Nothobranchius furzeri: one gene and its partners. The protein of the gene in region 1 interacts with the protein of each later gene in a pairwise test. Links are inferred from orthologs where the notes say so. Each region holds a gene or a part of one and is shown in the gene's direction. Other genes may lie near its edges.

The links.
Region 2: the proteins of nup62l (region 1) and xpo6 interact in binary tests that used the Homo sapiens proteins (3 or more experiments, as listed by UniProt). The link is inferred for Nothobranchius furzeri from reciprocal best matches to the Homo sapiens genes NUP62 and XPO6.
Region 3: the proteins of nup62l (region 1) and filensin interact in binary tests that used the Homo sapiens proteins (3 or more experiments, as listed by UniProt). The two-hybrid records come from large-scale screens. The link is inferred for Nothobranchius furzeri from reciprocal best matches to the Homo sapiens genes NUP62 and BFSP1.
Region 4: the proteins of nup62l (region 1) and hsf2 interact in binary tests that used the Homo sapiens proteins (3 or more experiments, as listed by UniProt). The link is inferred for Nothobranchius furzeri from reciprocal best matches to the Homo sapiens genes NUP62 and HSF2.

What each region holds. Positions count from the first base shown.
Region 1 is NC_091754.1:20,874,905-20,882,312, reverse strand, and holds nup62l (nucleoporin 62 like), read left to right. Parts: upstream 1-3,111; 5' UTR 3,112-3,302; coding exon 3,303-4,745; intron 4,746-4,825; coding exon 4,826-4,984; 3' UTR 4,985-5,163; downstream 5,164-7,408. Other genes in the region: pdk1 (pyruvate dehydrogenase (acetyl-transferring) kinase isozyme 1, mitochondrial), read right to left, coding at 2,205-2,313. UniProt on the Homo sapiens protein: Essential component of the nuclear pore complex. The N-terminal is probably involved in nucleocytoplasmic transport.
Region 2 is NC_091752.1:51,431,220-51,438,902, reverse strand, and holds the start of xpo6 (exportin-6), read left to right. Parts: upstream 1-3,174; 5' UTR 3,175-3,595; intron 3,596-3,730; 5' UTR 3,731-3,937; coding exon 3,938-3,940; intron 3,941-4,655; coding exon 4,656-4,746; intron 4,747-7,196; coding exon 7,197-7,309; intron 7,310-7,683. Other genes in the region: antkmt (adenine nucleotide translocase lysine N-methyltransferase), read left to right, coding at 1-21, 98-202, 293-433, 924-974, 1,210-1,443. UniProt on the Homo sapiens protein: Mediates the nuclear export of actin and profilin-actin complexes in somatic cells.
Region 3 is NC_091752.1:33,913,311-33,921,215, reverse strand, and holds the start of filensin, read left to right. Parts: upstream 1-3,444; 5' UTR 3,445-3,608; coding exon 3,609-3,982; intron 3,983-4,741; coding exon 4,742-4,802; intron 4,803-5,060; coding exon 5,061-5,156; intron 5,157-6,885; coding exon 6,886-6,978; intron 6,979-7,801; coding exon 7,802-7,905. UniProt on the Homo sapiens protein: Required for the correct formation of lens intermediate filaments as part of a complex composed of BFSP1, BFSP2 and CRYAA. Involved in altering the calcium regulation of MIP water permeability.
Region 4 is NC_091742.1:27,398,878-27,406,066, forward strand, and holds part of hsf2 (heat shock factor protein 2), read left to right. Parts: intron 1-1,226; coding exon 1,227-1,305; intron 1,306-2,115; coding exon 2,116-2,258; intron 2,259-2,331; coding exon 2,332-2,598; intron 2,599-3,964; coding exon 3,965-4,067; intron 4,068-5,900; coding exon 5,901-5,964; intron 5,965-7,189. UniProt on the Homo sapiens protein: DNA-binding protein that specifically binds heat shock promoter elements (HSE) and activates transcription. In higher eukaryotes, HSF is unable to bind to the HSE unless the cells are heat shocked.

The sequences.
Region 1 (7,408 bases):
AGTCACGTTGTCATGTGGTCCAGCTTCTTAAAGGGACATGAACCTCGCCAAACATCTTTTTTGATTATCGAATTTATTGCCATGGAAAAATAAAATTCATATTGGTTAGTCAGAAATTTCAATAAGATACATTTTTATTTATCACCCAGCCCTATGACAACACATATCTAATTACACCAGAGATCTGATCATCCTGGGTTAGGGTCTATTGATGTCCTAATTATGAAGTTTTCCAACAAAAGGTACCATGCTAATGATGTTAACCGAGTAGGAATGTAAGAAAGTATCGATAATGTGAAATATCGCGATATTTTGTGTCATGACCCTTAATTGACATGTAAAAGCTGTATGCAAACATTTAATATATATTTTAGTGTGGTGCAATTCAAACTGACTGCTAGGTGGAAGGCAGAAGTTTATACTGCCTTTATTCTGATAGAATAAGGGATGTTTCTCAATGTCAATGTGCCGGGCCTCGCATGGCGATGTCTTACGAGGCCAGGCGTCCTAGATCAAAGAAAACAGTCAAATGGAACACTTACTTCACGTGACATGTATACTGGAAATTTGCCCCCAAAGTAGATGCTGGCTACTGAGCCGCCATCCTTTTGAAAATAACACGCTGCATTCTGGGAATTTTTTGACCAAGGCTAGGCTATTCAATTTTATTTATATAGCGCCAAATCTCAAGGCACTTCACATAATAAACATTCCAATCCAGGTCAGTTCATCCAATCAGAAAAAATGTTTCCTATATAAGGAAACCAGCAAATTGCATCAAGTTAGCAATCCTCATACTAAGCAAGCATATAGTGACAGTGGAGAGGAAAACTCCCTTTTAACAGGAAGAAACCTCCAGAGGATCCTGGCTCAGTATAAGCAGCCATCCACCACGACTCACTGGGGATCAAGAAGACAGAACACACACACACACACACACACACACACACCAAGCATGGTTGCATTGTGATTTCTTAGTAAATATTCTATTTGGTGAAAGATAAACGTTATTGTACTTATCCTAGTGAATCTATAATTAAATGGGTAAACTAGCAGTAGCACATCCAACGTCAAGGAAAGCAAAAAGTTATTATCAGGAGAGGGAGAATGTTTTAGTGGTTAGCAGCAGTGTGCTAGACGATGGCCCCATCCATGAGGCCACCACAGCTCAGCAGAACATCATTGTAGCTTCTTCTGGGGAGAAAAACACTTAGAGAAAAATTAAAGTTAATAGCTGAAATTGCAGAAAATAATACAGTTAAAGAGCAGATTGTAGAAGAAAGTAGTAGAGTGTGAAAAGTGGTCAGTGTATCCTCCACCAGTCTAAGCCTATAGCAGCATAACTACAGAGATAACTCAGGATAACCTAGCCTTTTTAGATGGAGGCATGTTGGAGGCAGGGCAAGGGAGAGCCGTCTTTACCGACTGTACACTCCACCTACCTCTACTCCCCCACTTGTCCAGATGTAGGCTAACATCAGATTTTAACCATAGGCCCTATCAAATAAAAATGTTTTAAGCCTAGTCTTAAAAGTAGACAAGGTGTCTGCCTCACGGACTAAAGCTGGGAGCTGGTTCCACAGGAGAGGAGCCTGATAACTAAAAGATCTGCCTCCTATCCTAATTTTAGATATTCTGGGAACCACCAGTAAAGAAGGCACCTCCCGTGTATTCTTGCTTAGCTAGCTAAACAGCTAACAAACGAAGAACAGACACCTCGGTAGCACATGATGATTGGAACACGCCTTGGCGGTACCTGATTACGTATCTCCTAGGCAACCGGGGCAGGACCAAGACATCAAGAAACACCGAAGAGTTTGAGATAAAACTGGGTGTTAATTGGCAAGTATCTAGCAATATAATATGTTGCTATACAGGAGAGACGATACGATATATTGAGATACTAAAAGGCTGACTATTTTTGCAATTTTTAAGTGAATTTAACTGGGAAAACTCAGACAATTCCAGTGTTTTCGCAAGATATCGGTCTGTCAGACTGAAGGAGGAAGAAACTGCTGCCACCTAGCTGTCAGTGTTTGATCTGCACCACACAAAAGAAATACAAGAAATGTTGGCATGTAAATTCTCAATAATAGATACTCTGCTTTTAAATATCGATTCTGTATCATAAACCGAAATGTTGTGATATTTCAGTGCATTGAATTATTTTTACATCCCTAGAGTGTTATATGAATACATCTCACCAAAATCCAGAAACTGCTTCATTGAAAGAGGGGAAGGAGAAAATCTGGAGTAATAATCGATATCCTTCCCTACTGACACGCTGTTCCTCAGAAACCTCAGAAGCCTCATGTTGACCGGGTTTACTAGTTATTCGGAGGAAGCAGGTGGCTTCCGAGCCACACTTAGTGTTATTTAACGACACTAGCTCGTTGAGCAAACCCAGCAGCTCGCAAACACGCTGTTAAATTTATTATTGTTCAGTTACGTTGCTAATTGATGCAGGTTCAGCATCCATAACTACGGCCGCGCTGCAATGTTTGTGTATCGTCCGGTGTGTACTTCAAGTGATCGCTGCTAAATCCACCGAAGCAGAAAAGTCAACAAGCTAATTCAAAGAGTTACTACAAAGTTCAAGAGGATTCATCGTTGTTGCCTGGCGTATACCGACACGAAGTTCTGTTGAAAGGCTGTATTTAAAATTATTGTCAATATTGACGGTAAATTGCGAAAATAAAGACGTATAAATGCACGATAATGTCCTAAATAATGTCTTTTATTCACGTGTGTATGAAAGAAGAAGAGTTGATAGTGCTCGTTATTCTGTAACTATCTTGCCTTTGCATACTCTTTGTAAAGGCCAAACTATATATTTTTCCGAATGTTTGTCTATCAGGCAGTCAAATGAGCCTATCATGTACCTCAAATCTAATCATAACTCTGATTGGATAAAACAGTTGCCAAATAAATTAATAGGCGGAATTATGTCCCTGCAGACAAAATTCAGGGCATACGAGAATGCCGCGTCTCGGGTGTCGTCACTTCCTTTAGGTGGCCAGATAATTGCCTGTTAAAGGAAATGTCGGTTCACAGGCCCACGTTTTTAGCAATGTGTTATTGATTTTGGCTCTATATTCCTCGGAAGGTAACGTTGATTAGCGTGTGATTTCATTCATTTCCTGCGTATCTGTGCAAAGTTACTTAAATAGACGCAGTGGGGATTTTAGGAACTTCAGTCGGAGGAGTTGGTCATAGCGACCCGCCAAAAGCCACAAGATTCGGCAAGGAAGTGGCCGTTTTAAACGACACGTAACGGCTGTGTTTAACTTCTTGTGAGGATAATGAGTGGCGGATTCAACTTCGGACAGAATGCAGGGTTCGCCTTTGGAGCGCAGAAGACCACTGCCGCTGCCCCCAACGCGGGTTTTACATTAACCAGCTCAGCAGCTCCGGGAGGGGGGTTCGCCTTTGGAAATGCCAACCAGACCAACCCCACCGCCTCTTTCAGCTTTGGCACCCCAGCCAAGAGTTCCGCAGGCGGCACGGGGTTGTCTTTTAGCACGCCTACTGCCTCGTTTGCTCTTGCTACCCCTCAGACAACACCGGCAGCAACAGGGTTGAGTCTGGGCTCTGCAGCAACTCCGGCTGCCGGGTCAGGGTTCACCTTAGGCAGCCTGCTAACCTCGCAGCCCCCAGCTGCTGCACCAGCAGTAGCAACAGTGGCACCAAGCGGGGGAGGATTCACCTTCGGTGCTCCCACACAAGTCCAGCCTCAGTCAGTGGTAGCACCCACAGCCACGACAGCAGCAAGTGGCATGTCCATTGGAGGGTTCAGTTTTGGTGCTCCCAAAGTCCAGGTGACCTCAGCTGCAGCCCCCACTGCTGCCACAGGAGCGGGATTCAGCTTTGGAACCCCTGCAACCACCGCCTCTGCAGCTCCAACCACCCAGGGTGGAGGTTTTAACTTTGGGATTAAACCTTCATCAACCCCAGCCCCTACAGCAACCACCCAGGTGGCTCCGACTCCAGGCCCTACTCTGTTTGCGACACCCATAACCACCACCGCCGCCACTACAGCAGCAGCTCCAGGATTCATGTTTGGTGCAGCTCCAATTTCGGCTCCACTTTCATCGGTGAGCACTGCAACCACCACAGCAGCTGGAGGGGGCTTATCCTTCCCACTCAAACCTCTGAGTTCAGCAACCACCACCTCTGCTCCGGCCTCCATCCTAACTGCAGCCGCCACCACAGGCACAGCTACGGGCTTCATACTGGGACTCAAAACTACATCCACCACAAGCACAACCACAACAGCCACAACAATCGGCACCACCACCACCACTGCTCCTCCTGTGATGACCTATGCCCAGCTGGAGAGCCTCATAAACAAGTGGAGTCTTGAGCTGGAGGACCAAGAAAGACATTTCTTACAGCAAGCGACTCAGGTGAATGCCTGGGACCGCATGCTGGTGGAGAACGGAGAGAAGATCACATCCCTGCACAAGGAGCTGGAGAAGGTGAAGCTGGACCAGAGGAGGCTGAACCAGGAGCTGGACTTCATCCTGTCCCAGCAGAAGGAGCTGGAGGACCTGCTGTGTCCGCTGGAGGAGTCCGTGAAGGAGCAGAGCGGAACCATCTACATGCAGAATGCCGATGAGGAGCGTGAGAGAACATACAAGCTCGCTGAGAACGTAGACGCACAGCTGAAGAGGATGTCTCAGGACCTGAAGGAGATAATTGAGCACCTGAACACATCCAGCGGCCCAGCTGACTCCAGTGACCCAGTAAGATCAGATCTAAGTCATCCTTAAACCTGTCATTATGATGTTTGCCTTTTTCATTCATCTCTTTCTCTCTGTTTTAGCTCCAGCAGATTTGTAAAATTCTCAACGCCCACATGGATTCGCTGCAGTGGATCGACCAGAACTCGGTTCTCCTGCAGAGAAGAGTGGAAGAAGTGTCTAAACTCTGCGACACCCAACGCAAGGAGCAGGAGAAGAGCTTTCGTTTAACCTTTGACTGATCTGTTGATGAGTTTAACTCTGCATAAACATTATGCTCTTTTGTTTGGATTTACTCATTTCACTTTCTGTTTTGGTTTTATTAAGATAAATATTTTCTCAATAGTTCTTTATAAAGTTAATTGATCATATTAAATGTTCTGGGTAGTGTGATTAAATAAAACAATTGCAGTGGATCTCATTCAGCCTGATGTGGTGTGTCATGACTCTAATTCTCACATCTAATCTGAAACATGAAAGATCTACCAGACTTTTTGAGTTGAAATAATCTAAATTACTTAATCATTTTAGAGCTTTAACTGTAATTTGTCTCAGTAATGATCTACAAGCTGCTTAATTCTACCTGAGCCCTAGATTAGATGTAAAAACACAAGGAGGCGGGTGCAAGAAATGATAAATGACCCGCACTTGTATAGCACCTCTCAGAGTAAGGACTCCAAAGCACTTTACACTACAGTGTATCATTCATCCATTCACACACTGATGGTGATGAGCTACGATGTAGCCACAGCTGCCCTGGGGCGCACTGACAAGCAGAAGCATTGGTTTTCTTAACAGCTCCAGATAAGGTAGTAGAACATGTTGGCCAACCTCACAGGTATGTTGCAAAACACTTTGAGATTTTCATTCTAATACAATGTTAAAAAATACAATTCACCATTTCTACAGTAAAAAATTCCCAGGAAATTAAACAGCCATGTCACAAATATAAAAATGGACTACAGTTTGTCCTAATTTGCAGAATCTGCTAAAAATAAGAGCTTCATTGTCATCCGCTGCTTCCCACCCAAAGCATCGAGATTGATTGTTCCATCATAGGCTGGTAATGTCTGCAGAATCCACGAATGGGGAAACATGAAAACAGTTATCCGTGCTCTGTAAACAATAAAAAATGTTAAGTCTTGCAGGGAATTTACACTTGTTATGCTTTTTTTATTTTTTAGCATCAGAACAAACAAAAGCATCTGAAGAGTTTGAAATGCATTAAAATCAGACAGTTTCTGTACAAAGACTTCATCACTAAACTGTTTCAATGGAATTAAAAATTGTCTTTCGTCATACAATATCAGGGGCGGTTCTAGACCAAGTTTTCCAGGGGGGCCACAGTGGGGCCAGTATTTTTTCATGGGGGCGCAAGAAAAAAAAGGGAAAAATTAGGGCAATATCAAAATTCTTTTTTGTCTCTGCCATATGACTAATTTTGTGCTTGTGCACAATTTTACCAAAGGAAATTCCTAGTACTGTGAAACTACTCACTTTTTTGTTCTCTTCTTTTTAATTTCTATCTTTACTATATTTTGGGGATCAAATTTATCAAAAATTTTCCTTTACTGTTTTCATCTATGATCTTTTACAGCTGTATTTTATTAAAATAAGATTCAAATAAATTCATAATAAAAGGCAATGAACAAGTAATCTATTACAGCGAATGCAGTAATGGTTTACTTGTGAAAGTAAAACTGGCATGTCTTTATGGTACTCAGATAACAATTCTGAATGCTTCACCGCAACATGAGACTTGAGTAAAAAAATAATTCTAGTTGATTGTTATAGTTTGTGACTTTATTTGAAGATTACATGTACTGTACATATGAAAAACAAACATTCAAACAAATTAAATATGTGCACAATACAATTTCTTAGTGCAGTGCTTTTTGTAGTCAAACACACACACACACACACACACACACACACACACACACACACACACACACACACACACACACACACACACACACACACACACACACACACACACACACACACACACACACACACACACACACACACACACACACAGAACAGCATTATATAAAGCTGTAACAAAAGTACTTTGCATGTACTGAACCCCCCCACCCACCCCCCTCAGTTGCTTTTTTCCGTAAATCCACACGGTGAGTCAAACACACTTCCTGCACTACTTGGTGAGCTAAAATGTCTGCATGCATGACAATAAGTAGAGTCCATAGCAACAGAATATTTAACCCAAGGATGACTTTCATACCAGCTTGGCTGAAAGCTGCGTCTTCTGTCTCCTATTAATGTCACTGGAAATGTCCTCAAATGATGCTGAGTAGGTGGGCCACCCTTACACTTGCTGATATCGGAAAGAAAATAAATGTTAGCATGAGGATAAAAGTCATAATTAGTTAATTCAGTCTTATTTTATCTATTTATTAAATATAAACAACAGAAATTTTGGTCCAGAGTCAGCATGCTTCAAATGTATTTTACACACAATAAGAGCTGCAATCACAGAGGGGTTGTTCAACACCCACAAACCTGACGGTAGTGTACACGGTGCACATGACAGAAGATGTCCCTCATTTTCTCCTCACTCTCTCCCTCACAGCCTACATCTTCCTCCTCCTCACTCTCAGGGTGGACAGCCTCTGACCTCTCTGGTTCCTCTCCAACCAACTCCT
Region 2 (7,683 bases), on another chromosome or scaffold:
AAAGTCCCATTAAGGCTACAGGTGTGTGTATGTACGGTGTGTAGAACATTTTGTTTAGAGTCTGACCTCCTTTTCTTCTCCACTCTATTTTGTCCAGGTCCCCTACATTCCTGCCAGCAAAGCTCAAGTACAAAATGTTATGACATTGCTGAGAGGTCGAAAGGGGGATCTTGTGGATTTGGGATCGGGAGACGGTCGCATTGTAAATAAGAGTGTATAATCAAGATTGATGGAGTTTTTCTTTTTATTATTTTACATATTTATTAAAATTGTTGTCATTTAATCCCAAAAGGTCTTGGAAGCTTATCGCCATGGTTTTAGTCCAGCAGTTGGTTATGAGCTAAACCCCTGGCTGGTGCGCCTTGCCCGTTTTCACGCCTGGAGAGCAGGTCATCACGGAAAAGTGTCATATAGACGAGAAGATCTCTGGAAGGTCTGACTTTTACTTTCCTGCTGTAGATTCAGTATCACAACCATCCAGTTGTTTATTTCATCTACTAGTTCTATTTCATTTTAAGTGTGCTTTCCCAAATAAAGGTTATAAATGATCATACCCAGAATTTTTCTCTGCAAACTAAACTGCTAATAAGCTTGGCAACATTTTGAAGTTAACTGATCTCTTGTTTTTGTCAGTCTTTCTGTATATCTGCTGTGTTTACATGACACCGCAGCTCAAAGGACGACCATAACTATAGAATAAATCAGTTTCTTACAAAGCTAACAGTTTTAAGCTCTTTAACTGGTTGGCTTATGTTTTTACTATTATTTATGTGACGTAAGTAAGGATTTAAATTTGTGTTGACTCACTTCAAAAAGATTTCCTGAATATTTTAAATTGGATCATTTTATGTGATAATGGTATAACTATAGCAGGAACCAAAATATGTGTTTTTGTTCATATTTCGCTTCGTATCTCCTCACAGGTTGACTTGACAAAATGCAAGAACATCACAGTGTTTTTGGCTCCCAGTGTGGTAGGTAATGTGAAGAATATTTCATAAAGTTATGTCTTTGTTTTTAAATTGATAAACCTCAAGGCAGCTTGAATTGGTGTATAGTAAATCATTAATTTAAGTTAATATTTTCTATCAAAATAAACACAGATTTAATCTAAATTCTTAGGTTAAAATAACAATTTAGTGTTACATTTATAAGCTTGATTTTTTTTTATTACATAATCAGTAATGTTATTTCCTTGTTTTTTGATAGCTTCCATTATTGCAGGACAAGCTGAAGGCTGAGCTTTCTGACGACGCCCTAGTGGTGGCCGGACGTTTTCCCCTTCCAGACTGGAGTCCCTGCCGGGTCGAGGGTCGAGGTGTGGACAGAGCCTGGGCTTATAACATACAAGAACAAAGAACGCACACTCGTCAGAGAGATAATAGCGTCGTGGCAACAGGGAGCGATGCTGACAATAAAGTAATCCCCGAAAACATATCTTGAAATCCCTTGGAGAATGTTAAAAAGGTGAAATTTTCTTCATTGAAATATTGAAGATTTTAAATTATTTTCAGTACTTTTTTATTTTATCAATAGCAAAAACTAAGTACACTGACCTCTAGTAATGCATGAAAATCATCTAGCTGTTGCCAGATCCCTACAGATGCAGAAAGGCAACAATAAAATATCTTACAGTATCATTAGGTAGTTACAAAAATAAAATAAAGTTCTAAAGGTTCATCGTACTGATGCATGGAGCATTTAGAGACGAGCTTCAACTGTTGATCACATGTCACTATAGAATAAGTAGATGTACAGAGGAGTTCTTCTCCTTTTTTATTAAAGCAGTATGGACTTTTTACCCCAGGAGTTCGACATTTAGGCTCATTTTGTCCAAATGAAATAAGGTCTTATACCACTATGTATAAGGGTATACACCAGGCTGCATGGTGGTGCAGTGGTTAGCACTGTTGCCTCGCAGCATGAAGGTTGCAGGTTCGAAACTTGGCTCAGCTGCGGCCTTTCTGCGTGGAGTTGCGTGTTCTCCCCATGCATGCGTGGGTTTCCTCCGGGTACTCCGGTTTCCCCCACAGATCACAACATGCCCTATAGGTTATAAATTGTAAGTCGCTTTGGATAAAAGTGTGCTAAATGAATAAACATAAACTATGTCATGTTTTTCTCTTGTCTGTCTGAGGTTGTATTTGTCTAGGAATCCAGTTAATACCTTCTTTTATTTTGGCCTAACATGTTAAGCCTTAGAAATGAGAGACTGACATTTTAAATGTCAAACACTCAGTATAAGCCCAGTTCACACACACAACACAATGCTAATGTTGTTAATGTGGAAAAAACCATTTGCTGTTGTATTTATCTAAACACCACACTTTGGCATCAGGCTAAAAACCAAAGGTGTGTGTGAGTATGTGTATATATAAACATATACATATATATATATATATATATAATTTCTTAGGATGACATGCACTTATTCGAAATCTGTAAATTATACTCTACGGTACGGTTATTGCCATTGTTTATTTACAGGCAATAAATTGTCATACATGATGTGAACCTTGATTTAATATATCAGCCTAATTATATTAGCTTGGAATGTATTTTATTTACCTTCTAAGCTGCTGTTGGTTTGTTTTTATACTCTATGTTTATATATTTCACAGCTTTTTAAAAAAGCAAGTAACACCACTTACATTTTCACCAGAGTGTTGGCATCAAATGAGTATTTTTATTTTGAACACATGACATCATTCACACAGACAAAAAGCAAACAATTTCTTTGCATTTTTAAAGGGGAGTGGGGTGCATTTTTAATAATTATAAGGTAATGCTCATGTAAAAAATATATAATAATTATAAATAATATTGTTTATCCGTGTATTACAACTTCTCACATTTTTATATATTTGTAGTCTAAAGGTTTTTGTTTTCCAGATATTTTAGTGTATGATTTAGATATGCACTAAAATGCGATCCCAGAAGATTACTTATGTCTTTTAAAATTTAGGATTTAATCGATGATTTCATAAAAATTTGAGTATCTGGTGTTAACCTGATTGTGTGAGAGAGATAACCATCGGAGATAACCGATATTTATATGTCGATGGAAATAACCTGTAAAAGTAGCGGCGCAGCGTGACAGAGCTCCCCGGAGATCAAGTCCCTCCTACGTCACTGACTTCTCACGCGCTGATTGGGCCGCTTGTGTCAAAAGAGGAAGTTGCGAAGCAGACCCTAAACCTACAGCTAGCTGTTGACTTGAGCCGCCCAAATCGTTCAGAAGGGAAAGGGGAAATAACAGCACCAGCCTTATATACAATTATGTCGTTTTAGTGTTGAAAGGTTGAAATCGTAAATGTGCCTAATAATTTGTTGAGGAATCATAAAACGCAAAGACGGTTTGAGCAGCAACCACAGAAGCATGACTACGGCTGACATTTAAGCTAACGAAAATAATTGTCTTCATCCTAGAAAAGCTAACAACTTAGCCATCCGCTACAGCGTTAGCAACCTGGTCATTTTGCGTCGAAATGGCAGACATTGGACGGTAATTAATGCTTCACGCTGTGTCGGAGCTAGAAGAGTGGAAACTAGCTCAATTGTCGACAAAAATCAAGAGAACATTGCCGACTTAACGGTAAATGTTGGCGAGAAATGACAATGCAGCTAACACATTTTGTGATAAGTGGTTCAACGGTCAACCTACTCGTGTGGTAAATGTATTTTCTTTTGGCAAGGCAAAAACATCTGTCTTATATGTGTTGTTTTAAAGCAAAGTCAAGGACGCCGGCCCTTTCTGGTGAAATGTGTTTGGATTTAAGCAGCCGTGCAGATCATGAAGCCAGTCTGCGATTACCAGCAACACCTTAGCTAACGTTAGCATTGCCTGTACTAGAGAGAGAGATAACTAATGTCGGCCTACAAAGGTTATTAATCAGCGACTAAGTGGACTGAAGAAAGCTTTCTGAGCCAACTGAACATGGTGAGTCAAATTTAGCATGTCATATTTGATCAGTCATTGTTTTGCTGTCATATTTCCCAGCAGCTGATCATTTGTTGCTCGTCTTGGGAAGTGAAAGAGCAGATAAAGTGCGTAAATTTAGTGCTACTGCCTTGTGATTGAATTTGTGATTGATCAGCCAGCTAACGGTTTGAGGTTTGAACCATTTCATGCTTCATGAAGACGCCCTTCTTACAAAATCGGATGTTTGCTATTGTTGAGCCTCGGCAAGTTGTGGCTTATTTGAGGAATTTAAGCCTGTCTACTTGCCTGCCACAGGGACTATGGTCTTTGAAGGGTCGGTTTGGTCAAGGTTTATGACGTCCTTCCTTAACAGAAGCCAGATCGCATATTTATATTGCAGATCTGCTTGTGTGGGATACAGAGTCTGCGAAAATCCCCACACAGATCTGTAATAGTTCCAGAGAAAGGGGCATGATAAAGTTTGCAGGTACAGACATGTGGAGGGGCCCACTGCGACTGATGGTATCTACCCCTCCGGACTTTATTTCTGTTGCATGTAATGAATTTGTTGGAAATGAGCAAAAATGCCTAATACATATTTAAATTTGAGGATAGGTTTTGTTGTAGCTGTTTCCTGATTTTGCAGTGGATGCGAGAAATTCAGTGGTTCGTGCTTTGAGTGTTACAGAACAATTAGCTTAACTTTGCCCTTTATTCTTTTATCATTGCTTAGGCTTCAGAGGAGGCATCCCTGCGTGCATTGGAGAACCTAATGACAGAGTTCTTTCATAACTGCACGACTAATGAGCGGAAAAGAGAAATAGGTGAGTGTGACGTAAAGAGGGAAAACAGCACATAGTTCGGGTGCTTGGGTCTTGTCATTACTGTAAAATGTTTTAGACCTCGCACAACATTCACAATTCTTTATAAATTCAAGTTAAACTTTCATTATTATTTGGGGTTATGGTTGTTTGAACTCAAAGGAGAGTGTAGTCATTAAATAGCTTGGCTTTAGAAAGTACAAATGTTACGATTAAAATACAATTTCTGCCATTTTAGAGTTTTTTCAGTGTAAAAGTTGTATATATACTTTTTTTTTTTTTTTTTTTTTTTGCTGTCATCATCATTACCCGCTTTTGTTTGAAGAAACAGGGTTCAAGTGTGATGGGACTGATATGCTAAGCTAGTCTGAATCAACCCACAATAATGGCTCCAATCTCTTAGATTTGCTGTTCTTGCAAGCGTTATTTAAAACACCTTGACATTGACATCATTTTTGCCTTACTCTGTTTTAAAGAATTCCTGGATTTTGACCGTTGATGCACCAAAAAGGCCACATTTAACTGATGCTGGTATATTCATGCAAAAAAAAAAACATCATGGAGCTAAGCATGCTATGCAAAACTGACCTCAGTTTAACATTCATAACATTCATACGAACTGCAATGAAGTAATCCGTTTTAAGATTTTGATCCAGGCTGCTGTCCGACTAGCCGTTAGCGTGTTGGACCTTTAAAACATAAACACTTTGTTTGTGCAACATCTAATTTTAAATAGATGCAAATATCACTTTAAACTCACATAAATAAATTATTTGAGAAGCCTAAATATTGCAAAATAATTTGAACAGAAATCTGTTTAGCAAAAAGCAATGTTGCTCATTTTTATCCATCACAGCATCACTTACACCTACACAAGGTTTAGTTGCATCATGTTTATGTTGTCATTTCTTTAAATTAACTCAGGGAATCTTTTATGGAGAAAAAATATTTCATGCCAAATAGAGCTTATCTGTGACTAGGGCTGTAGCGAAGCCTCGACGAAGTCGACGGCTCGATTCTAAAAATTTGTCGACGTCAGATCCGGAAGTCGACGCACCGCGCCCACTTGTTGCATCCCCAGGAGTTTGTAAATAGAGGAGGAATCTGCCTGTTTTTCCTCTAGTTCGCCCTCTTCTCCGCCTTCACTAACATCTCCGCCAAACACCGAAGACCCGGAACAATGTCCGTCCACTACTAGATTATTTTCCTGTTTTGCCCGCCTTCGTCTCCCAGCAACGGACAACAACTTCCGGGGTCAGATGCGCTGCTTCGTCTCTACCGCAGATGTAGAACATCACCGGGAGCATTTCTCCCTTCATTAAGGAGCTTCTTTCAGACATTAGGAGAGCTGTTTTGGTGGTAGCAGTCTCTCCTCCGTGCTGGTCTGTTTGCTGCTGGGTGTTTTTGGTTTATTTAAACTTGGTAACTTGAACTTAATGTTGGTAAAGCTACTGTTAGCATCTTCGCTAACAGCTTCTTGCGTTGGGATAAGCTGTTACGTTTTGGTTTAGAGTTCATCTTTTTTGTGGTGCAGATCTCCCTTTTATTACATTTAGAGTGTTGTGGGTTTTCGGTTTAGTGTAAAATATCACCTGAGTTTGGTTTAACCCGTAAGACCACTCGCCTCACGCACATAAGTGACCAAAACAAAGCAGCATGGAGACACTCCATTTTCTACCACCTCTCAGGCAGCAGCCTGCACTCCCAAGTTCTACATGTCACCAGAACATAACCAACCAACACAATAAACGCAGTGTTATACAAAATGGAAGGCCTGTAGTGTTTATTCTCTTACAGTAACAATTTATCAATTTTTTTGAGGAATTTATTTGAGATTTTCTGGTTTTTGTTAATTGTGCAATAGAAAAATAATCATTAGATTAATTTTCTAAATAGTCATTAGAATAGTCGACTATTCGATAAAATAATCGTCAGAATAATCGTTTTAAAAATAATCGTTTACCCCCAGCCCTATCTGTGACGTAGGATCATGTGATCATCTGCTTCAATTTTAAATCTTAACCACTCAAATCGTTAATGCGAGTCGATCCGTCCTCCTCCTCATTTCCTTTCAGTGACGTTAAATTAAGCCAATATGAATTTAAGAAACTTCTAAAATAAAGATGGTGGATTTCTACCTATTCTTATGTTAATCTAGTAATAGAAGTATTATTCAATGTTTTTATGTTTGAAAATGTCTCCAGTTAAGTCATTTTAAAGGCTTATCTGTCTTTAATTCTGAACTCCAGATAAAATTAACCGTTACAGAAATATCCAGTGGATCTCTGGACAAGATATTTGTATACATGTATATAAGATGTGTGTAGTCTAGTTTTTTTGCATAGGTTTTCTGCATTTCCTGTGTTTCTGTATCTAACTTTCAGTTTGCCTCTCAGTGAAGTAGTAAAGTGTGTACTTCTGAAAGGTCTCCTACTTCCTTTTTTTCTCTGCAGAAGAGCTGCTGAATAACTTTGCACAGCAGACCGGAGCATGGCACCACTGCATGTTCTTCCTCTCCCATACTCGGAATGAGTATGTCATGATGTTCAGTCTCACGGTGTTTGAAGTAAGTCATGTAGACAAGAGAATTTCAAAGTACTTTCTAGGTTCCTGTTGCTTTTGATGCTTAGACAAACGAGTCGGTTCTCATAGAGAAGACTTGTTTTAGTGAGACAGAAAACAGCACAAGGTGTTATGCAAATAATATGTGCTCCTCATGTCCTTTTCCTACATTTATAGTTTCATTTCTGTAGAAAATAATGCTACGTATAACATTTTTGTAAAGAAGCAGACAAGTCCTTTTTACAAGCAAAACACCTAATATTGATTTGATTTGTATTTATTATTTCAGGCTTGGACTGGGCAATATCTTGAGTTAAATTTTTTATTTATTTATTTTTTCAAACAAGACACAAGATGACCCAGTAAAGCTGGTCGATT
Region 3 (7,905 bases), on another chromosome or scaffold:
ACTTTACAGCCTGCGGCATAATGACCAGATCTTTTTTGTTGCTCCTGGAGTGAAAAGAGAGGTAGGGAAACATGCTTTTGGTTTCAAAGCTCCATGTGATTGGAATAATCTTCCTTTATCTATTTGTTGTTTATCATTATTCACAACTTTTCGAAGGGCTCTGGTCGATCATCTTCAGGAATAATTGTCTATGTTACTAATTGTATTTGTTCAACTGGCTGTTGCTTTTGTTTTGTCCTTGCTAGTTGGGGTCATGTCGTGTGCATGGGATGAAGTATTGTGAGCCTTTGAGGGTGTGTGTGTGTGTGTGTGTGTGTGTGTGTGTGTGTGTGTGTGTGTGTGTGTGTGTGTGTGTGTGTCTTTAAATGATTGTTGTAATGTTTGGATTTCGATTTTTGCTCTGCTGTCTTGCTCTTAATTTTTGTTCTTCTTTTTGTTGTAAAGGATGACCCACTCGAAAACGAGATGTTTCATCTCAAGTGGTTTTTCCTCCATATAAAATTATGTTTAAATAAATAAATAAATAACACGCACTGTAGAACATTTCTTGCAGCTCGGAAGATTGGAAGACGCAAAGAGGCCGATTAATGTCTGAAGATGACCTCTCTCTGAAAAGGCCAAATTATGGATGAAAGCTGACCATTTCTGGATGCTACACATACTTATCACAGAACTTCAGGACATGTTTGACAGTTTCTGCAACTCCACAGCAACTGAAGTTGGCACTTACCCATTATGAGCATAGTGTCATTAAACCCTGATTGACCTATCCAGAGCCTCGTCAAAATGATTTTTACCCATCTGCTCCCTCCTCCAAATTGCCTGACCCGGAAAGATTTCTGAAATCATATGGAATGCTCTCCCCCTCCAATCCAACAGGAGAAATTGAACTGAACACAGGCTCTCAGACCTGAAGTCATCATGGAAGTGGCAAAAATTACAGTTCCACGCTCATCCACTAGGGGCTGGCACCAGAAGTGAGCAAATCCTCAATGACTCCCATGTTAAAAATGCCAATTTTACAGCAGAAATAAACATGTTTACAGCCTGGTTCAAAAAAGCATTTTAGGTTTAATAGATCTAGTTTACATTTCTCACAACTCTGAGGGGGTGAATTTTTTTGTAACTCTTCTTTTTAAGTGGAATTAAATGCTTGAAATGCTGAATAATTAATGAGCTTAAGAGCCACATGACTTCAGAGCTAGGAACAGATGTTAGAGCAGGCAGCAGGCTGTTCCCGTTTACCGGAGCAGCTGGGCCAGGCGGACCGGCTCCGATGTGAGGCTGTAGTCATGCTGGTCACATGTGGATCTCTGAGAGAGACCACAGAAACACAGCAGGTCTTTTAGTTGATGCTGCTCCACTTTTGAGTCGCTCAACTGCAATTTTTTCACTAATAGTTTGTGGATAAATGGGTGTGGCAAGGTGGAGAAACAGGGGTCCGGGTGGGGTTCGATCCCCAGACTCCCAGGTGAGAGCCATGCGCATTAACCAGACAGCCAAAGGGACTTCCCCGTGGTCAAGTGGCCAGGGTGCATGATCAATCGGGATACGGTGACAGGACACTCACACTGTCACATGGGGAAAAATCTATGCATTTACCATAACACTGCTTGGTCTAAGATGGGTTGAAATATAACGTGTTGGTGTGGCTGCTGAGTAATGAAACTACTCAAACTAGGTAAGCTGACCGAGGATATTGGGCTTCGCTGGTTCACTGCGGTCAAAGATCCACGAGTTTGAACACCGGAGGGCAGCAGTGCATGCGTGCGCCCTAGAAGCAAATTCCACTAAGAAGAAGTGAATAGGTACACCGTTGCTGCACTCGGTTAATTTGAATAACAATGAAATCGAAAGACGCGTCAAATTTGACAGTTTGTCATCATGTCCAACTCTCGGCAGCCACATATGATGAGATCCATGTCCACTATTAGCTCTACACCAGCCTCCCAGTGGTGTCTCTGAATCCCTCAAATTGCTGATTTGTCATATAGCTCTTGATCTGGTCCCAATGTGTCAGCTCTAAAGTTTTTTTTTCAAGGCGCTCTTTAATGATCCTTCTACTCAAGTATCCTCTCCTGAAACAAAACACTCCATTATATATGTGAAGAACAGAAAAGGAGATCTAGTTCAGGGTTCTTTAAACCTTCAAAATTCAGTGTTACTTCAAAATCTGCCACACCAAAGTGAACTGGGCTCAAGCAAGTGTTAAAAATACACAAATGTCACTGTAAAATTAGACAGAAAGAAGAATTTCTCATATTAGTGAATCTTTTCCCCCCAGCTGATGGCAGATGTGTTTTTTAAAACGCCTCCACTCCATTTAGCTTTGCACAAGTTTAGGTTGTTCATGTGGAAGACAAAAACAGAACAGCAGGGGGTTTAAACTAAAAATGGCTTTTTTATTTTCCCCTTTGGGGATTGTCTGTTGCATTTATTGGTGCTTTTCTCTGCAGAGTTTGGGTAAAGGTGTGTAGATCTGACCTCCTGAGACCCTGTGTCCACATATGAGGACATTGGCTTCTTCTTATTTTTAAAATTTAGAAACATTTGACAGTGATTTTAAGTTAAAAATATATTTCGTTTCAGTTTTTTTCTTTAATTTATTTTACAATTTTACATCCCACCAAGTACAAATTCGGGTCTCAGGAGGTTAAGAGTGTGACATCACAATGAAACAATTTAATTTGCCTCGAGGAACAATACTGACCCCCCCCCCCCCCCCCCCAATACCTTTTATCATTCATGAAAACCTGGAAAATATTGCAATCTTTTAATTTATCTGCTGTTTGGTTCGTTTTCTCGCTGTAATTTCCTTATTACATGACCAACCGTGACCTGTGGGCTGCTCTTGTTTTATTCCGGATGTAAAATCACGGATGTAAAGCCATTTGAGGTGCGTTTTATTCAGCTGTTTCCCAGACAGCTACATAGATTCCTTTTGAGAGACACTTTGGATGACCTTGTTTTGTAGACTGGAGAACGAGCCAGGAGAAGAGCTCTTTTGTCTCTTTTTTCCATCACTCTGTCTGTAAAAGGTCACAATGTAGAAAAAGAAAGAGAAAAAGGAAAGAACAAATGGATATATGAAGATCAGTGAGAAAAATGTGAAAAATTGAAACTTTTTTAAAAATTTAACTGCAGTGCATCTGCTTCAAGCCCATTGTCTCAGCAAAATAAAATAATTGCTGTGATGGTACAAACTGCAAGGCATGAAATTTCTCCTCTGAGCAGCAGTGGGGCAGCATTCCAACTCGCTGTATCAAAGCAGCTGACTAAGAACCAAAATAATGGTCGGTGTCAACCCAGTTCTTTCGCAGGATGGCCAGTTGTTTGTTTTTTTGCTTCTGCATTGTCATCAACCGAATCGCCTTTCAAATCTCCACAACAAAGGCAACAATAAACCCTGGAAGGTCCTGGACTGGTGACACAGGCCATGGGAGCCAGCAGAAGCCATATGGGCTCACACTGGTTACCAGGCATTGCTTTGCAGCGTTTAGTCTAGCATGAGACAGCCAAGGGTGAGCACCCAAGTTTTCTTTCATTAACGGTGCTGAAAGGGACCAAGAACTCCTGGGAGACCATCAGCCCAGAGAAAGTGTACCACCATGTATAAGAGCAGCTACCGGCGCGAGGTGCGCAAGGAAAAGTATGAGCGCTCCGACGTCTTTGATGTTGACACCAGGGACCCTGAATCCTCTGCCGGCATCTCAGCCATCCAGGGCTGGGAGAGCCTGCAGGAGCTCAACAGTCGCTTTGCCCGATACATCAACCGGGCCAGAGTCCTGGAGCAGCGGAACGCCGTGTTTCGTAAACAGCTGGAGACACTGCAACGGATGGAAGAGGCCAGTGGCCTGGAGGAAACCTTTACAGAGCAGATTGGTATCAACAGGCAACGCATCAGGGAGCTGTGCTCTGACCGAGCCAAACTCGAGCGAGAGCTGAAGGAATCCTGCCGGATGCTGGATGAGTTTACCAACAAGTAAGGAGGAGGGTAGCTTTTATCTCAAAGTCAAAGGCCAAAGTTTCATCCCGAAGATGGAGCGTGCTTCAATGTCCTTCAATGTAATTAGAGCTAACAAGTCAGTGATGGCTTAGAAATCTAAGAAAGTAAAAATAATAGATCACAACCTTTGTCTGAGTCCTGAGCAGTTTTCTCTGTTGCAGCAGCAAAGGGATACAGTAAAATCTCTGGAGGAAAAACGAAGTAACATGAAGGTAGTGTTCAATGAGATTTAGCTGTGCAAACAGAAGAAAATGTGAAACATACAGTTGTGAGGAAATTAGAAAGAGTAGAAGTCCAGTAACTGATTATAAACAGTAGGAAATACTGAGATGTGAGCTGCATATAACACAAGTATTGCTTTTATAAAAACAGAAATAAATTGTTTTTACTGCATTTTTATTTTATAATGTTGCACAAGGACCAAAAACCTGTGGAAGTCCTCATTCAGGAAAAAACGAAATTCCATAAGAGAAATTTAGTTTCAATGATAGATATTTCAAAACAGCTGGACATTTATTCACTGATGTGTAAACTGGGTGCGTGCAGTGCATCGTTTCTCAAACAAAATCGTTAAAAATCAAAATATTCAGAAAATTATTCAGTTTTCTAGTTTGTTTTGTTTCTGTTGTTTTTACTTGCTGGAAAGAAAATGTTTGTCTCTTTAATTTTGGTCCATTTTCATGCCTTTTGTGTCAACCTTCACTGAACTAAGCATCATGATGTTTTGTTTATCAGATATAAAAATGAGTGTGATCAACAAGAGCAGCTGCGGAGCACTCTGGAAAATTTAAATAAGGTACTTTATGACATCGTTTTAGTGATTTTGCCATTGTTTGACACAAAGAATGTTTATTTTCACCAATAGTGGAAAAATGTATATATATATATATATATATATATATATATATATATATATATATATATATATATATATATATATATATATATATATATATATATATGTATATATATATATATATGTGTGTTTTTTTATTATTCTAACAGTTTTTCTGCACAATTGTTTGAATGTGCCATTCTTTATTTTCCGCTGCAGGAGGCTGACACTGCTCTGCTAAGAAATCTGGAGTATCAGATCCAGTCTCAGTTTCTGCAAGATGACATCAATTCCACCAGAGACAGACACAAGAAGGTCAGCAAAAGTAAAATAAACTTTGAAATGAATGAATATGTACGAAATAAAGTTTTAGTCATCTTCTTGATTATATTTAGTTTGTAACCACAAGAGGATCTTGATCAGCTCCACTTTTCAACAATAGATAATTTTGGTAAATTTCTAAATTTCTTTGGAAAATTTGCTACATTACACCGATTCAAACCAGGTTTAATTAGAGTATCAAAAGTAATCATCAAGTAAAATATCTCTTTTAAACAAAAATAATAATCATTTACATTGTGACAGAACCATGACGTGGAAAGTATTTCTGCAGAAAATGGACTTAATGTCCCAGAATCTGCACAGCTACAGATAAGATTGCATTTGGTCCCCATTCTAAGCTCTCTGTGCCACCCATGTGCAGCAGCAGGAGGACAGGGAGGCAGCTGGGAGAGAGACCAGTAATCCACAAAATCTATTCACAAACTGGGAATGACTCAAAAAGACATATGGTTGGGATCAGATTTTGTTTTTGTAATTTTGAAATCTCAGCAGCTTTAAATATCGATGTGTCTGCAGTCAGATATGTTCCTCAGGCAGGTAACCAAGCTGTTACAATGCAGTCATTTCTATTTATGCTCATGCCTGGTTGCAGCAAAATAAAAACGCCAAAACTCAGGAAACTTAAAGCAACACAGGATGTGTTTTTATCATTTCTTTAGCTACTGGGATTACCCGTTAGCTTGTTTGTTAAATAATTTAGTAGTATTGCTTTATTTCACAAGAACTGAAAAGTGATGCAGAGTTCACATTAAAAAAAACACAACATGAAAAATAAAAACCAGAGAATGCATTTTACGCTTTGATAACGTGAAAATAACAAGAGTATTACTCAAAGGTTTAAAGAGAGTGCCAGGAAATGTGCTGTGATCAACCCGCGGCTTTAGCAACTTCATTTGTGTGTCATCACATGACTGAAAAGACAGAAACTAACAGATGTCCTTTTGTGTAGCAGAAACCACTGGAACACAATGGCAGGAAAAAATACCTGAAATTTCTGTGCATCAGTTGGACTTTCAATAGATTTCCTGTGCCCATGCAGTTTGTCTCACTTTAAGTTTCATTCAGCACTGCTTTTGATGATGAACTAATCCCGTGACTGCTGTGTTTAGGCACCTTGACAAAGGACATGAAGGCTTTACAGTGAACATTTGGATTTGCTGAACTCTGAAGTTTCTCTTTGGAGAAACAATGTTTAGATGATGTTTATCAGAGTCATACACCATACTGGTGTAAATGGATTTGAAAAGAAAACCTTCCAGCTCAGTGGCTCAGTGGTATGTGTCCGCCCTGGGGCTGGGAGATGGGTTCAAATTGAGGTTGGGTCAAACCAAAGACCTTAAAAATAGGTCCCAATGTCTTCCTGCTTGACACTCAGCTTTAAGGGGTTGGATTGGGGAGTTAAACCACCAAATAGTTCCCGAGCACAGCCACTGCTGCAGCTCACCACTCCCCACGGGGATAGGACCAATGTCACCAGTGTGCGATGACCAACGGGATATATTGGACCATGTCTTTGGGCAAACAAAAGGACTTTACTGAATCCATGTTAACTATGAATGTTAACAATGAACACAGTAGTCGATTTCCAATTTCCTTTCTGCTTAGACTGATTCAGACAGTTTATTCTAGAAAACAACTAAGTTTGCTGTGTTGTATATTTCCCTTCCACATTTAAAATGTCTTCTGTTCTTTTGTTGTCCAGAACCTTGCAGAGATCCAAACTTATGTAAACATTTTGCAGCAAATAAACCAGACACTCCCTCTTGGTCCTAATGTGTCAGTTGGCATCTCTGAGGTAAAGTCACTAATGTTGTCACTCGTGTGTGTGTGTGTGTGTGTGTGTGTGTGTGTGTGTGTGTGTGTGTGTGTGTGTGTGAGTGTGTGTGTGTGCGTGCGTGCGTGCGTGCGTGCGTGCGTGCGTGCGTGCGTGTGTGTGTGTGTGTGTGTGTGTGTGTGTGTGTGTGTGTGTGTGTGTGTGTGTGTGTGCGCGTGCTACTCCCCCTGAGGGAGGAGATGGTGTTTGCATGCATGTCAGCCTTGCTTTGTGTTGTGGCTGATGAGGTTACCGGCTTCTCTGTCCAACTGATGGTCTGAACATGTAACTGTTTTTGTGCACATTTGTGAGTGGATGCTCAGTGAGGACAGAGAGTCAGTGACTCATCAAGGCTTGCGCAGGTGAGCAATTTAAAAGTGTCAGGGCACATAATGAAGCAAATGCCACGAAGAACGACTGCGCATGCTAATTTTGTTGTCAGTCCGCCTAGGTGGCTGGTGTCAGAGTAGAAGATTGGAGATTTGTTTGTTTAAATATTTCTCAGCAGCAAAGCCGCTTCAGACGCAGCAATTGTTTAATTGGTTGAGTTAAGTCTCCATGGGCGACAACTGTGAGCCCAGTTCCTTGTTATGGAGCTGTGTTTGTTCCAGCAAAAGCAAGCCAATGGTTAATAAAGCTTGTCTCTGATCACTTGGAACCAGTGGAACACACACACATTCACACACACAGGCAATTTATGTGTGGGGTCCTTTCAAAATATAAAATAAAATCACCAGTCAACATTGTTCTGTGTAAACATGCAACACAATTCATGTTGTTATGGATTTGTGCTAAATGTGTGAAGGAGCAGGAGAAACTGTTGGCCCAGAAGAAACTACCAGGGCTCCAGAATCAGCTGGAGGAATACAAGAGCACCCTCTGCCAGCTGCAGGCTCAAAAGCAACGCCT
Region 4 (7,189 bases), on another chromosome or scaffold:
TGGTGGGAACTTCTGGAACGTTGAGAACTTTAGAAGTTAGAAGTAAAACTTATGTAAAATTCCCAATTTTACAGGGAGCTGGTGAAGTGATGCTAAATGGAGAAGAATCCGATCTCTTGTCAAAACTCTGAAAGCAGCATTCTGAATAAGCTGCATGCCTTTAATAGAACCTTTAGAACATCTTGATCTTAGAGAATTACAATAATCAAGTCTGGAGGTAAAATATGCATAAACTAGTTTATCTGCACCATTTTGGGTCAGGATGGTCATGGTTGTAGCAACATCACACTGATGTCGGTCCTAGTGTTTATAGAGAGCTAAAAGACCGATCCTGGTCCAGAACAACACCACAGGAGCTTAGGTCCAAAACCCATAACCTCTGTCTGCTCTGAGTTTTGAAATGAAGAAGAAGAAAGGATTTTTTTTAAATATAGCGCCTCTTAAAATATAAATCACGAGGCACGTCACAAGAACCAATAAAAACATTTTAAAAATGATTAAAAGGGGTCATAGCAAAAAAAAAAAAGGGGGGGGGGGGGTAGAAATAAAAGAATGAGAATAAAGTAAACACGGGAGCCCGAAAAATACTGAAATTTCAGAAACAGATTGAAAAGATGCTAGTGAGGAAGACGAGGGCGAACAGGAGTTTTGGAGTCGTCCAGGTCTTTGTGTTTGAAGAGTGCTCGTAAAATACTTAAACTGATGGGATTCATCAGGCGTTATGGATAGATAAAGGGTATCCTTCCTCAGCATAACAATGGCATCCTTTGACCCAGTGGAAGCACATGTAAAGTAAAGAGTATCGGACCAAGCATTCATCCCTGAGGAACTCCATGACAAAATCTGCTGAAAGAGATTCATTATGAACAAGAACTAACTAGATCAGATAAATTAGACTTGAACCAGTCTAGTGCTGTTACCTTAATCCGGGTTTCATCCTCAAGCCTCTGGAATAGGAATCAAAACGGTGTGCTTAGTGTAACAGCTTATAGCCAAGTCTTATTCTAGTTTTAACTGAAGCTGTAGTTGATGTCATTAGATTGAATCCCAGACAACGTGGCACACTTAAAGGGATTTAGTTGATGTACTTGTGAAGTAGTGCATCTTTTCAGTAAAACAGCCATTTGGATTTATGCTGTAAAAACATGTTTAGTGAGGGTGAAACGTGTTAGACCAGTAAACCATGATATATTTCTGCTTCCAGCTCATGCTTTCCTTTTTTACAGGTCAATTCTTATGAACAGCAATGGGCAGAAACCCAAATACATTCATCAGATTTATGAGGATAAAGCACGTGTGGACCAGGTCAGTCTGTTATAGCATTATAGCAGTCAACATTCAAGCAAGTTTAGGAGAATTTACAATTTTACAACAAAAACTGGGGGTGGGGCAGGGTGTGGTTGGCCACAAAATGTACATTTCTTTTGGTGGAAGTGTCCATATTGTTTATGGGTGTGATGACCTGCTGAGAACCAGATAAAATCACCAGTTTTTTAAAAGTTTTTTTTTGTGGGGAAAACGTCCAGGCCTATCAGGCCCTGCCCACACGTAGACGGGGATCTGCCAAAACATAGATATTTTTCTACGTTTTGGCCTGTCATCCACACGAAAACGGAGTTTTTTCACACGAAAACGGATCTTTTTAAAAACTCCGGCCAAAGTGAAGATCTGCGTTTTCTCCGTTTTGGGTGTCTGCGTGTGGACGGACAAAACCGGAGTTTTAAGGGCCGCAACGTCACTTTCCGCCACAAAAATATGCTGACATCACGTGTGCGACCTGTGTTTACACTAGCCGACAGCATGGACGCCCTCAGAGCTGCGCTCGCTTTATCAATCGTCCAAGCGCTTTTTGCTTGTTTGTTTTTGCAAGAGGAATTACTGCTCCTTGTGGAAGACCACAGACGAAGGACGAGGTCAAGAACGGGGGAAGTACTGCCGCCTACAGGTCTGGCATGTCCTTAACAACGTATTTATCCGGGTACGTGTGGACAGAGCTTTTGGAGGGGCGGATATTCGTTTTAAAAAAACCCGGCTACGTGTGGACTAGGCCTAAGTCTTACCATGTTGGTAAATCCTTCACCAAATACCTACTAACCCCCACCGTTTGCTGTTTAGATGCCGGTCAGCGATGCTGGTCCGCGTCTGAACAGTGTGAAGGGTGGGGACATCGTAGATGATGTCATCATCTGTGACCTGACTGAGAATGATGCTGACGATGGCGCGGACATCACAGAGGCAACTCCAGCCTGTGAACACGGGTGAGACTACCAACCTCCAGGTTGTTGTTGCCGTGCCTAATCAGAGAGCCTGATTTGAGTTGTTCTTCCTTAGTGATCTAGAAATTGTGGAAGTAGAACTGGATGGCTGTGGGGGGCTGCCAGCTGAGACGGAGGCCAACCCCACCTGTACAGGTGACCTCAGACAGGCTGAAGCTAAAGAATCAGCAGCAGAGAACCAGACGAACGGCGGCGGAGCGACCAGCAACGCTCTGCTGCTCAATAAGCCCTCTGGTCTGAGCCTAGAAGATCCGCTAAAGATGATGGACTCCATACTCAACGAGAGCGGAACAATTTCACAAAACATCAGCCTTCTGGGAAAGTGAGTCCTGCTCCTAATGTCGTCAACAGAGTCTGGTCTGGGCAGCAGATACATGAGGGAAGATATGTCTGTGTGCAAATTCTACAAATAAAGGATGCTAAAGTTTGTTCTGACAAAAAAAATACTCAAGTAAGACATGTTGGGTTGTAAGTAAGTAAGTAAAAGTTTATTTATAGAGCGCCTTTCACAGATATAAATCACAAAGCGCTGTACAACATGATAAAGATCAGGGCAAATACCTCTAACCAATAAAAACATCAGAAAAACAATAGCAGTGATAAAGTAGAAAATAAAATCATGAGTATAAACAAAGTGAAGGTGTGAACCCGAACAAAGCCATCTTTTTGAACATTTAGGGAGGGAACGCCTGGATGAAAAGGTGAGTTTTTAGATGATTTTTAAAGACCTCTACAGTGTTGGAGAGATGGAGATTTGAAGGTAGACTGTTCCAAAGTCTGGGTGCAATAGTCTGAAAGGCCCTGTCCCCTTTGGTTTTCAGTCTGGTTCGAGGAACAGCCAGGAGGTTTTCAGATGTGGATCTAAGGTTCCGAGAGGTGATGTGTGGGGATAAAAGCTCAGATAGGTAGCTTGGAGCCTGGTTGTTAAGAGCTCTATAGGTCAGCACTAAAACTTTAAACTGTATTCTATATTCTACCGGGAGCCAGTGCAGGGACTGTAAACCTGGAGTGATGTGAGCTCGTCTGCTGGATTTGGTTAGGAGTCTGGCTGCTGCATTTTGGATGGCTTGAAGGCGTGAGAGGGAGGTTTTGCTGAGACCAGTAAAAAGAGCGTTACAGTAGTCTAAGCGTGATGATACAAAGGCATGGATGGTTTTTTCCAGATCTGCAGTAGAAACCAGTTTACGGACTTTTGAAATGTTTCTCAGTTGAAAGAAACAGGAGCAGGAGATGGTTTTGATGTGTGAGTCTAAACTTAAAGCAGGATCAAAAATAACTCCCAGGTTTCTAATGTTGGCCTTGGCTGATGGGCAAAAAGAGGCAATTTCCTGCTCGATTTTTGGCTGAAGTTCCGGGGGTGCAGCGATCAGGGCCTCTGTCTTGTTGGCGCTGAGAACAAGAAAGTTGCTGGACAGCCAGTTACTGATCTGGGTTGTGTGTGAAGTTCAGTCAGTATTAAGGTGCAGGAAAAGATGAGGGCTTGTTACATGCAGTTACGATGAGCAGTAGTCGCTGGGCAACAGTTAAAAACTAAAACTTGGGCTCTGGCTTCAAACGGGTCACTTTGGGTTCGGGGTCTGAGGTTGTGGAGAAGTCTACCACTGATGTACCAAAGGCACACTGATCCGAGTTCAGCCAAAGGCCCCTCTGGTTTCCCTTTAGATGACGCTGTCTGTGTCTCCTGACAGGGTGGAGCTCATGGACTATCTGGACAGTATCGACTGCAGTCTGGAGGACTTCCAGGCCATGCTCTATGAAAAGCAGTTTGGGGTAGATTTTGACGCTCTGGAGGTAAAACCAACAAACACACACAGCTATTCTCACAAAGGTCGGGGGAGGTCACAGCAGGTAGTGTGTTGGCAGCCATCAGAGCAGACCGCTTTAACAAAACCAAATGAAAGAACTCTGGCCAGGGTATCCTCGGGTCCTTAAAAAGTCTTAAAAAGTCTTAAATTAGCTTTCCCAAATTTAAGGCCTTAAAATCCTTAAAAATGACAAATAATCCTTAAATCCAGTTTCCAAAGGTCTTAAATTACCAAAGACTCAATAAACTAGATTCTTTTATTTTTGTCAAATTTTCGTGAATTTCTAGTTAGTGTTCAGCATTTTCTGTGTACGATGTTGGCGTAAGCGGAACCGTACACGTTCAGCTGGTTGTGAAAGGGGGCTGTTTTTAGATGAGCACATTAGCTGGTTAAGCTAGTGGGAGCTTGCGCCATGGGGAAGTGCAGGTTTAATGGTAACAGGATGCTAATCCCACGTTCGCGACATGGTTAGCACCGGTTCCAGGCAATAGCTGGAAATTATAGCTTAAATTTAATTTTAAAAATAGCTTAAATTTGGTCAAAGTGGCCTTAAAAAAGGTCTTAAAAAGTCTTAAATTTGGCTCCCTTAAACCTGCAGAAACCCTGTCTGGCTTCATTTGCTCTCTCCAGGGTAAACTAAAGATACAAGTGAAGCTTGTTGAAGCTCGCTGCATGCCTTTTTGTCACCAGCTGGACTAGGATTGGGCAATATGGCTAAAATCTGTATCGCAATTTAATTTGAAGCACATGGGGTAACGATATAAATCACGATTCATTCTTCTGTTTACTTGTGCCAAAACGACCAGATAAATTTCAGCAGAACAATACTTCTTAAAAGTACAGGATGCCGTTTAAATAACATTGAATGTGTAAAACAGGCTTAAAAAATACAGAATCTTTTCATTTATTTTGATGTTGTCCTATGATTCATTTTCTAAGCAATTCAACACAAAAATTCAGAAAATGAATAAAGCTGAAGGTATTTGAAATAAAACACAAACTTAATGTGATGAAATGACAGAATTCTAAATAGTTTGAACTGAAGTAAACAAATAAACAGATATCACATTTCCTTCTTGATTCCTGATTGGTTTTTGATGTTTTTCTTTGGCTCATAGAAGCTGCATGAAGTGTTGCTTCAGTAGTGAAAAGGGATGTAAAATTAATACAACAGGCAAACTACTGGTCAGAGCTGAGGTGGCCTCATGGAGGGGGCCATCGTCTAGCACACTGCTGCTAACCACTAATACATTCTCTCTCCTGATAATAACTTTTTGTTTTCATTGACGTTGGATGTGCTACTACTAGTTTATCCGTTTAATTATAGATCCACTAGAATAAATACAATAAAGTTTATCTTTCACCAAATACAATATTTACTAAGACATCACAATATAACTATAGACACATTACTTGTGTGTGTGTGTGTGTGTGTGTCTGCTCTGTCTTCTCCATCCCCAGTGAGTCGTGGAGGATGGCTGCTTATACTGAGCCAGGATTCTCTGGAGGTTTCTTCCTGTTAAAAGGGAGTTTTCCTCTCCACTGTCGCTGCATGCTTGCTTAGTATGAGGATTGCTGTATAGTCACTGACACTAGTCGGTGACTTTATGCAATTTGCTGGGTTCCTTATATAGGAAACATTATTTCTGATTGGCTTAATGAACTGTGAATTGGAATGTTTATTATGTGAAGTGCCTTGAGACGACTCTTGTCGTGATTTGGCGCTATATATATATAAATAAAAAAAAAGTAGTCCAACTGATGGTTCCTGTATCTGCACTGCAATTTGAGTCCTTACAGTTGTCTGCGGTATTTTCAGGAGAACGTGTCGACCAAAGAGAACACTACCCAGACGAACAGAGGCAGAGCACAAGATCACACGGGTAGGTCATCCCCAGTGTGCATGTGTGGCTCTTGGATTTTAACAAAACACAAAGAGAATTAGACAAGTTTGTCCGTCAAACAGCGCGGGGCTTTATTTTACAATGTTGTACTTGCACGTTAGGCTAGTGTCACGGTACATAGTGATAGGGCAGCCAGGTGCAGCTTTGAATGTGAAAGAAAACCACACATATTTCAGCTACCTTATCTCTAGGTGTGTGTTCAAGTCAGCTAACAAGTTGCCATTGTAATTGTTTTTGAGTTTGGCATTTGATGTAATCATGTTGTCAAGGCGAGGTGTTTTTTCTTCTCTCGTTAAATTTTGTTGGTTTGTTTGTATTGTTAGTTTAAGTTCATGCCACTGATAGTCTTTCTATCTTATATTGTTTAGTGTTTCAAAGGAGGACCCCCTTGAAAATGAGATGATGTATCTCAAGAGGTTTCATCCTCTAGAAATATAACATAAATAACTTAGGCAGGTTCTGTAGTTGATGAGATAAAAGTGTTTTTTATTAATTAATTTCTACTTTTATTTTTCAAGCCTGCATCAGTTTTGCTCACAGATACCAAATACTGATGTCTAAGCATAACCTCGACTGTTTGCCAAACCCTCAACCCTTACACAGAACCCTGACAGTTAGGCATTACCTTGACCGGTAAACTTGAACGTATAAGCAGAACCTTGTCCGTTACCCAGTACCTCAACTGTTAGGTAGAACCTCAACTGTTACGCAAAACCCTGACCGTTAGGCATAACCTCGAGTGTTAGGCAGACCCTCGACCGAGCCAAGGAGTCCAATCATCTCTGATCTGGATCTCTTGATCCATTCAGACTTTTCTCCACTAGCCTCCTCTTTTCCGCCTTGCTCCTGTCTGCGATCCTCTTCAGTAGTGTCCCTGCTACCATCTCCTATGATCGCCAGACTCTTTTGTCCTTCCGTTCGTTCACGATCGCCCAACATGCACCGAGGATGTACAATCCTGTTTGTTTACCTGAGTGGCACACTGGCCCGGAACCAAACGATGATTCCAATCATGGCGTTTCCAGCGATGTTTATCCGGTCCCGGGAAAACGTTGGAGGAAAAGAGGTAAACGAGCAGGAATCCAGGTGAGAATAAGACCTCTTAAAGTGCGGTTTATCTGGTAAACATCGGCGTGATCTTCTAGCTTCTTGTCCTTTGTTTGGTGACCTGAGCGCCACTTCCGCATTCCCGCCAGGCCGCGTT